2 linked regions of the Danio rerio genome follow. The protein of the gene in region 2 binds, or shares a complex with, the protein of the main gene of each other region. Links are inferred from orthologs where the notes say so. Each region holds a gene or a part of one and is shown on either strand. Other genes may lie near its edges.

Region 1 (3,633 bases), on a different chromosome or scaffold from region 2:
AATTAACCCCAAAAGATTAGATTATCTGTTAGATCTGCAGGTGATGGATACAAAATTATATTAAGCTTTGTTCAGTGGGAACCTGGAGTAGGGCTGGGCGATATGGCAAAAATGTAATCTTGACAATTATTTTCCATATTTAACGATAACGAGATATATATTTTGATAGAAGTTGGTAATACTTGCAGATTTAAAACAATGACAGAAGCCACAACAATTAGAAGGTCCAAATTGCATAACATTTTCGTCCGATAAATATTCGGTGGCCAAAAATTTGGTACATCTCAATTTTAGATTCCCATTGTAGGACGTTTCTGCTGTGTGATTGGCTCTTAGATCAATATAGAGTAAAAAAGTCCAGAGTTTATCGGTTACTGATGTAAATTTTATCACGATTTGATATATCATCAATTATCGGCCTACCCCTAAGCTGGAATTTTTTTATATTTAAATATAAATTAAAAGCTGACATCATTACATTAGTTTTGAATATTCATGAACATAAAGGACAGAAACAATATGGTAATTTCACATTTTTTTAATACGTGAGCTCCACGTAAATTGTCATGATACCAAAATACATAGATTCAGAATGCGACATTGGCGACAATATATACACACACTCGGATATTACAAAATGTACAGGTCTTTATAAAACAAAGACGTTAAAAACAGTGGCCTGACCCTCGTACAGTCAAGTTGATCGACCCTGAATTGTTTCAGCGACAATGTAATATTGACCCTTCATGACACGTTTGCATATTGTTGTAATACCATTCGCTCACATGGCTTTTGAGAGTTCAACACTTCAAGAACTGTTAATCCCAAAGAGTAGCACCAGCATTCAAATAGTTCCTTCACTAGAAGAAAGGCAAGTCCAGGCCAAAACGAGCTTGTGCTTCTGGTGGCACCACCACGCATGCTTTCTGGGAAGTCCCCCATAGTACGTTGTTGAAGCCCAGGCCTGACCACGTGTTATGAGAAGTACAGTACGATACAGTTAGAAAGCTACAATTGCTGTACTCCATGGGTTTAGGTTTTTCAACATTTGGTCGCAGCAGATTTGACCGCTTTCCTCTGCCTCGGCCTCAGGTTTGGTGCCATCTTTGCTGAGAAGTCCTGAGAAACTGGAACCAAATATTGTTATGAGGTTGGAGACGTTCCCCGTGTCCATCTCCTCGGCTTCTTCCTCGTCTTCCTTCGTGTTTGAGGAAGCAACTTTGGTCCTTTTTTGAGGCGCATCGCCACTTTCTGACTCCTCTGCGCTTCTTTTCCTGTTTGAAGAACAAACATGCGTTTTGGGTGGTTGATGTGATTCCCCGTTCACCACCACAGGCGTTGAGTCGCGTTCCGCTACTGTAGTGTCTGAGGGACTCTCCGTAGTGGTTTCCGTTGAAACCGAGTCTAAAGAAGAGTTTTGGTTGCTTTCTTGCTCAGAAGTGGAAGTACAATCCACTCGTTCTGATTTCTCAGCGTCGTTTTCGCGATATTCCCGCTCTTTCTCGCTCGCCTCGGGCTGTTCGGTGAGTTGAGGTTCCTCAGGGCTCTCTACTCGGTCACATTCCGTTGTAGAGGGAGGGAATTTCTCCCGCTCGGAGTCGGTGATGTCCCACTCGTTCCCTTCGCGTTCACTCTGAGCGTTCAGGCACGCGCCGCTGTAGTAGTCACTCAGATAGACCTGGCGCGCGCTTCGGAGGACCAGTGAAACCAGTAGGTTTTTATGCAGTTTAATGCCGCCTCGCTGAACGCGTGAGTTGTAGATCTTCCCTAAGGAGATACTCATAATCCGATGGGCCTCCACTTTGTATTCCATAGCTGGAATCGATACGTTTAAAGTTCACAAACGGTGCAAAGTTCGCCGGGCGTTTCGCCTTTGATTTCCTCTCTCTTCAAAACGTTAACGCGAAAGCCGTTAGTAAACAACAACGTCCAAGTGCTTTTCCGTTCCTCCTGTAGATCAAATCCCGTGTTTTGTTGGCTTCATTCTCATATACAAAATACAAGATCTTGTTATTGGGTGAGTGTAGGAGATTTTATTACCTCACACATTCTCTTCAGCACCCAACAATGGTCTAGGGAGGAATGAGACCGTTTCTATTTTTAACTCGCATTTATACTCCGGCGTCAGCGGCTACACTAGCCAATCGCGTTGCGAGTTGCGCTCTGCCACAGTTGTGAATCACACCCCGCCAAACAGGCGATAGCCAATGAAAGGGCGCTTCAGCTATGAGTCATATTTAAATACTAACGTGGGAGAACTGCTTAAAGGGAAAGAATTGTTTTCAAGCTAAAATAGACGGATATTTTTATATTTCTCAGTGTTTTTCAGGCTGTATTTGTTTAGAAAGTTAAAAATAAACTATATTTGAAACACAACACCGTTTTCACAAGTAAACAGAAGCTAAAACAAGCCAAATGTGACCCTATACACGTATACCAAAACATGATTTACATTTAACGTTGTTTTCCAGAATTATCCCTTTATGTAATATGTTTTGTTTCAAAATATTAACATTTCAGATATATCCATCGCTACATAATAACCATCACACGGTTTCCGCATAGTGTATCGTTGTGTTTTCTGGTAAAAGGGAAAGAAGGCTACTTCCCCTTTAATTTTTTTCAACTGACTTCCTCGACTGATGTAATGGTTTGTCTGCTACAGTCGTGTCACATGACTCTATTGTGCAAATCCACTGCGGTGTCTGGGCAAATGTGAATGGAGCTGCCCGTGGGGGGAAGGGCAATGTTTTGTTTGAAGAAACAGTTAGCAGCTACTCACGAACAGTGTGGGAGATTTTACCCTCAATTGAAGATTAAGATCACGTCGATGCTTTCGTTTTGCGTGTGTATGTCTGGTTCTTAAATGAATAATCCGTGCGTGTTGGTTTGTGAGTCTGCCTGCATTAAGATGTGGGTCATAAACAAACCTGACAGGAAGAGCAGGCTGTGACGTAAGACTGTTTATCTATATATAAACGATTACAGCCATGACTACCGCACAATTTATTCTGCAATGCTTTGTTTGAAGTAGCTCACACAGATAAATGAAAATGAAAGCATTATTATTTACTATCAGTCATAAATCAGCACCCTGTTGTTGTGTTAAGCTCCTGTTTTTAAAGGGGCGATTAAATTGTTGTTCATTAAAAAAAACAACGTCCATATAGACCATTTTGAGGGATGTAAACAAAAACAATTGTCCCAATGTATTTTCTGTTTCACATATTTATTCCTATAGCCTTTGAGAATCTAAAAAGATCCACACATTGATAAATAATGTCGTGAGAGCTGTTTTAATGTATGATTAAATCGCCTCTTGTTACAGTAATAGTTTGATAAGGACATGAACACATTGAAATGCTCTATAAAATAATCATGTATCCCGCTATCTCATCTAGTGCTGATTCTACAGTTGCAGTTCTGCGCGTTGATGGGAAACTGGCAACTGATACTATAAATAAAACCGGGAGTTGATTAATAATTTATGCAGCTTTACTTTCTAAGCCGACCGAGCTCAAGTGTTTCCAGCTGCTTTGCTGCTTTTACATCATACACGTCCTCTAACCAGTGGACAGCAGCACTGGTGTAGATAGTCAACTAATGAGCAGGCGGCGCGCTGTGATGAATAAT
Region 2 (3,833 bases):
GTATTTCATTAATCAACATCAACAAAGAAAAATACTGTAATAAATGTATTGTGCATTGTTTATTCATTTAAATAAATACATTATCCACGCATACTGTAAAAATCTCTATCGACTGATACCCTCATATATATATATATCTCAGTGGGTGGTGTGTCATTTTTTCAGCTTGACTATTGTTACATACAAATATAAAAATAAACACGGCCTGATTTCACTTGTGTCAAATTGCAGAGCTCAAGCACAAGCACACTGCTATTATTACAGTATTTCCTAACTGCTGTCATTTTAGTTTATATTTATAATAAGAGGGAAAACACACAGCCCAAAGGGCATTATTCTAAAAAGTTGCTTTCAGCAGTGCGGATTTTACAAAACACTAAATCCAGTACTTGATTCAGTAGTGTAGATGACGTGGTCTGCTCCTATAACTCACATTTAGAGTGCTTGTCACAAAGTGCTGATGCACGCATGTCACACAGGCGGATGGTGCCTTTGCTGCTGCTGTAGACAAACGTGTTACATTGGTGAGGGTGAAACTCTGCGGCTGTGATAACCTCCGTTAGGTCCTCCATGTTGGCTGGTTTAATGTCCACAATGTCTGACACAAGAGTTAAAGCCACATAACACTGTTGAACCGACATCAAAAGCCACATCAATAAAACACAACATTTTAAACCACAGGAATTCTCCTTTATCTGCTGTATTTTGTAGGATACTGAAGCTGCGGTCTGTGATCTCCAAGTGCCACAAGTTAATGCGCAGGTCGTCTGCAGACAGATAGGTCTCATTGTCGCTGTTGACCGAGATGGAGTTGATGTGGTAGGTGTGAGCGTTGGCAAAGACCCTTCGCGGACTGGCCTCCACCATGAGATCCATAGGCCTAAATACTGGCACCTGCACAAACCGTTCACTCGCTTAATTGTTGAAATAGGCAGATGAGCATGTGACTCCTACATTTTTCTGTCATAGAAAGATGCAAGATGTAGAACTGCTGCAAAAACATTGCAAAATGCACTACTGCTTTGGTTATTTGAGACCATGCACCACAAACCTAGTGTTATGTTGCATGGGTATATTTTTGGGAATATCCAAAAATACACAGTAGGGCTCAAAATGATCTGATTTTAATTTGATCCCAAAAATTATGAGTAAATTTCTCTAAATTTCCTTCCACCAATAAATAAAACATGATTGTTAGTTAGTAATATACATTTCTAAAAAATAGTTGTACATCAAACAGTATGTCACACCACACATCAATGAAAAGCTTATTTATAATAGTATTTATATGATAAAGCTTATTTTCAAAAAATTGAGCCTTATGATTGGTTTTGTGGTCAAGTGTCACATTGATTGAAAATTAACACATAAATTTTACAAAGATGAAATAAACAGATCAAAAGTGAGATTAATGACAATTTTAATCTTGCTAAAGCCTTCTATTTTAAATAAGTGATATTTTAAAGCTTGCATTTATCAATACTTTGATCTAATATTACAGAATAATCATGTACTGGATGCAGTGTTGCCAACTTAGCAATTTTGTTGCTACCTTTAGCAACTTATTACCCTAGTAATAGTAGTCATATTACCCTAGCAACTTTTTTTCAAAAAAGCACCTAGCAACAAATTTAGCAATTTTTAACATTCATTTGGCTACCTTTAGCAATTTTAAAAGAGTAAGTTGCTAGCTCAGATTGTTTTTCATAACTGCTCATTCACTGATATTTGTTAACATGTATAATTGTTAGTAATTTAGGTAGTAATAAATTCCAATAGTGCTATAATTGTTGTCACTTTCACAATATTGTCAAATATTTTAATTTCACAAGTTAAAAAGAGTTAGTACACAAGCTGTGATTGTTTAAAAGAATGTAACTATTTATTAGCAGTTTTACAGATGAAAATATACAATTATTATCAAAAAGTGTTTGTATTACTTTTACTTTTAATACAAATCTAAATGGACATATTTTGAATAATGTTTTTGCTGAGATGGCCAGTCAACTTGAGAAAACATTAATTATTTTGTATACTACATGAAGATGTAGTTTTGAGTTACGCAAAGTAATATGTTAATAAAAACCTATTTATTGTGCATCTGGATGTAATGTTTTAATATAGTATAATACACGGCACCACAGAGAGTAGAGACATGACGGGCTTACGCTTGTCAGATATTATGCGATGACGTCACTTATATGCAAATTAGTGTGTGATGTCATCTGGCAACATTTAGCTACTTTTCATTGGAAATAGTTGGCAACACTGGCTGGATGTCTGAATGCATTCAATAACAAATGTTTAGACTATGAAAGTAATTCAATCAAATTTGTTTTTCGACTACCTTTGTAATTGGTCAAGTGGATGAGCCCAAATCATTTCAGTAGAGATGCACCAAACGCAATTTTCTTTACAATTTTTTTGGTAAGTGTGACTTTTGTAATTAATTTGTTAGTACAGATTTTTGCTGATTCCATCGTTTTTTTCTTCTTCTTCTAAGTACTATAATTCACAGTATACACAAACAAAAACAGTTTTATTGCATATTGCAAAATTAACACATTATAAAAATTAACACATTACTAAAAAAAAAAAAAAAAAAAAAAAACATTATCAAAAACCCAAATACACCAGTTTTCTCTAATATGCTCGACAAAAAAAAAAAGTTTTATTTCCACTCTTTGTAAACGAAACTTTTTTACATTTCATTAAACAAAAGTCCAAAGATTAAATATGCATATGTAATATGTTGATTAATATTTGTATGTATTCTTTTGCTCTACTATTTTATAGATACTTATTTTCTGATATTTTCAATATTGTTCTAATGAAGCACTTACTAAAAACTTAAACATAATTGTTTTTTTTCTCCCTCTGAAGGCAATGAGTAGAACAGTAGTATTTATCACTCATTTAGCAAATGCTTTACAAATACTCAGCAAATGCTTTAAAAAAGACAATATTTGAAAGCTGACAGTATTAATCTGTCAAATTCTGTCAGTTAATGGGTAACTGGTCAAAATGTTAGAATGAATGTCTCTGATGTCATTGCCTGCACCGCCATTAACATTATGGACCGTCTGCTCAACAGTCAGGCTGATTATGCAAAATAACAGCTAATTCCAGTTGTCAGCTGGTCATTCGGTCCATCTCTACATTTCGGTCACGATTTACACCTTTATTTAAAATTTTGTACTCGTAACTCACCCGTAGAGTTGTGATGGTAGAAGCATCTCTATAGCGTCCATCCTCTTCTTTCAGATTGTATCCCTCTGGTCTCTTGTCCCGCTCACTGATCTTCCACAACTTTATAGTTTTATCTGCAATTATAATATTATAGAATTTCTCCCCAAGTGCAAGACCAGCAATACAACTCATGCTGAAATAATCATGAAAAAAAAGCCTATTTCCACATACAGTATAATAATAGCAAGTATGACTGGCATAACGAACGGAGTTGACAGTTCCCCAAATTCTGAAAACATCTGGACATTTTTCCCATGTCTAATTTGAACTCTGCCCCACAAATATCTACCCATCTTCCAGTGTGTGGGTGAACAGAAAACCCAGCATTCAGTCTATTCAAGACAGCCTTAAATACACACCGGTTGCATAACACAACAGAGAGTTTGTATTTTTAGACAGAATGGAGATGCATGGGTGAGTCAGGAAAAAGTCTGGAGAATTTGCAGGGTTTAAAGCAACTTAAGTAGTTATTAAATGGTTCTCCAGTAAAGAAAAAAAGAAGAAATATTCTGTATTTACTATTGTATAGATGCATATATCAGTCTGCACAAACGCTATGTCGATTACAAACTAGAAATGAAAAA

The links.
Region 1: the proteins of ppp2r2ab (region 2) and ier5 are in contact, whole or in part, in a cryo-EM structure (PDB 8UO5), measured with the Homo sapiens proteins. The link is inferred for Danio rerio from reciprocal best matches to the Homo sapiens genes PPP2R2A and IER5. Residues at the interface, in NP_002708.1 of Homo sapiens: Glu91, Ile92, Glu93, Glu94, Asp116, Tyr178, His179, Asp197, Leu198, Met222, Leu225, Thr226, Glu227, Val228, Thr230, Ser247, Phe280, Phe281, Glu283, Ile284, Ser287, Cys334, Tyr337, Glu338, Asn339, Asp340, Phe343, Lys345; in NP_057629.2 of Homo sapiens: Ala7, Arg9, Ile10, Ile13, Ser14, Lys17, Arg25, Gly26, Lys29, Leu30, His31, Lys32, Leu34, Leu35, Val36, Leu38, Val39, Leu40, Arg41.

The regions. Positions count from the first base shown.
Region 1 is NC_133197.1:16,200,436-16,204,068, reverse strand, and holds ier5 (immediate early response gene 5 protein), read right to left. Parts: upstream 2,008-3,633; 5' UTR 1,814-2,007; coding exon 1,001-1,813; 3' UTR 524-1,000; downstream 1-523. UniProt on the Homo sapiens protein: Plays a role as a transcription factor. Mediates positive transcriptional regulation of several chaperone genes during the heat shock response in a HSF1-dependent manner. Mediates negative transcriptional regulation of CDC25B expression.
Region 2 is NC_133185.1:23,765,605-23,769,437, reverse strand, and holds part of ppp2r2ab (serine/threonine-protein phosphatase 2A 55 kDa regulatory subunit B alpha isoform), read right to left. Parts: intron 3,324-3,833; coding exon 3,211-3,323; intron 895-3,210; coding exon 717-894; intron 599-716; coding exon 434-598; intron 1-433. UniProt on the Homo sapiens protein: Substrate-recognition subunit of protein phosphatase 2A (PP2A) that plays a key role in cell cycle by controlling mitosis entry and exit. Involved in chromosome clustering during late mitosis by mediating dephosphorylation of MKI67.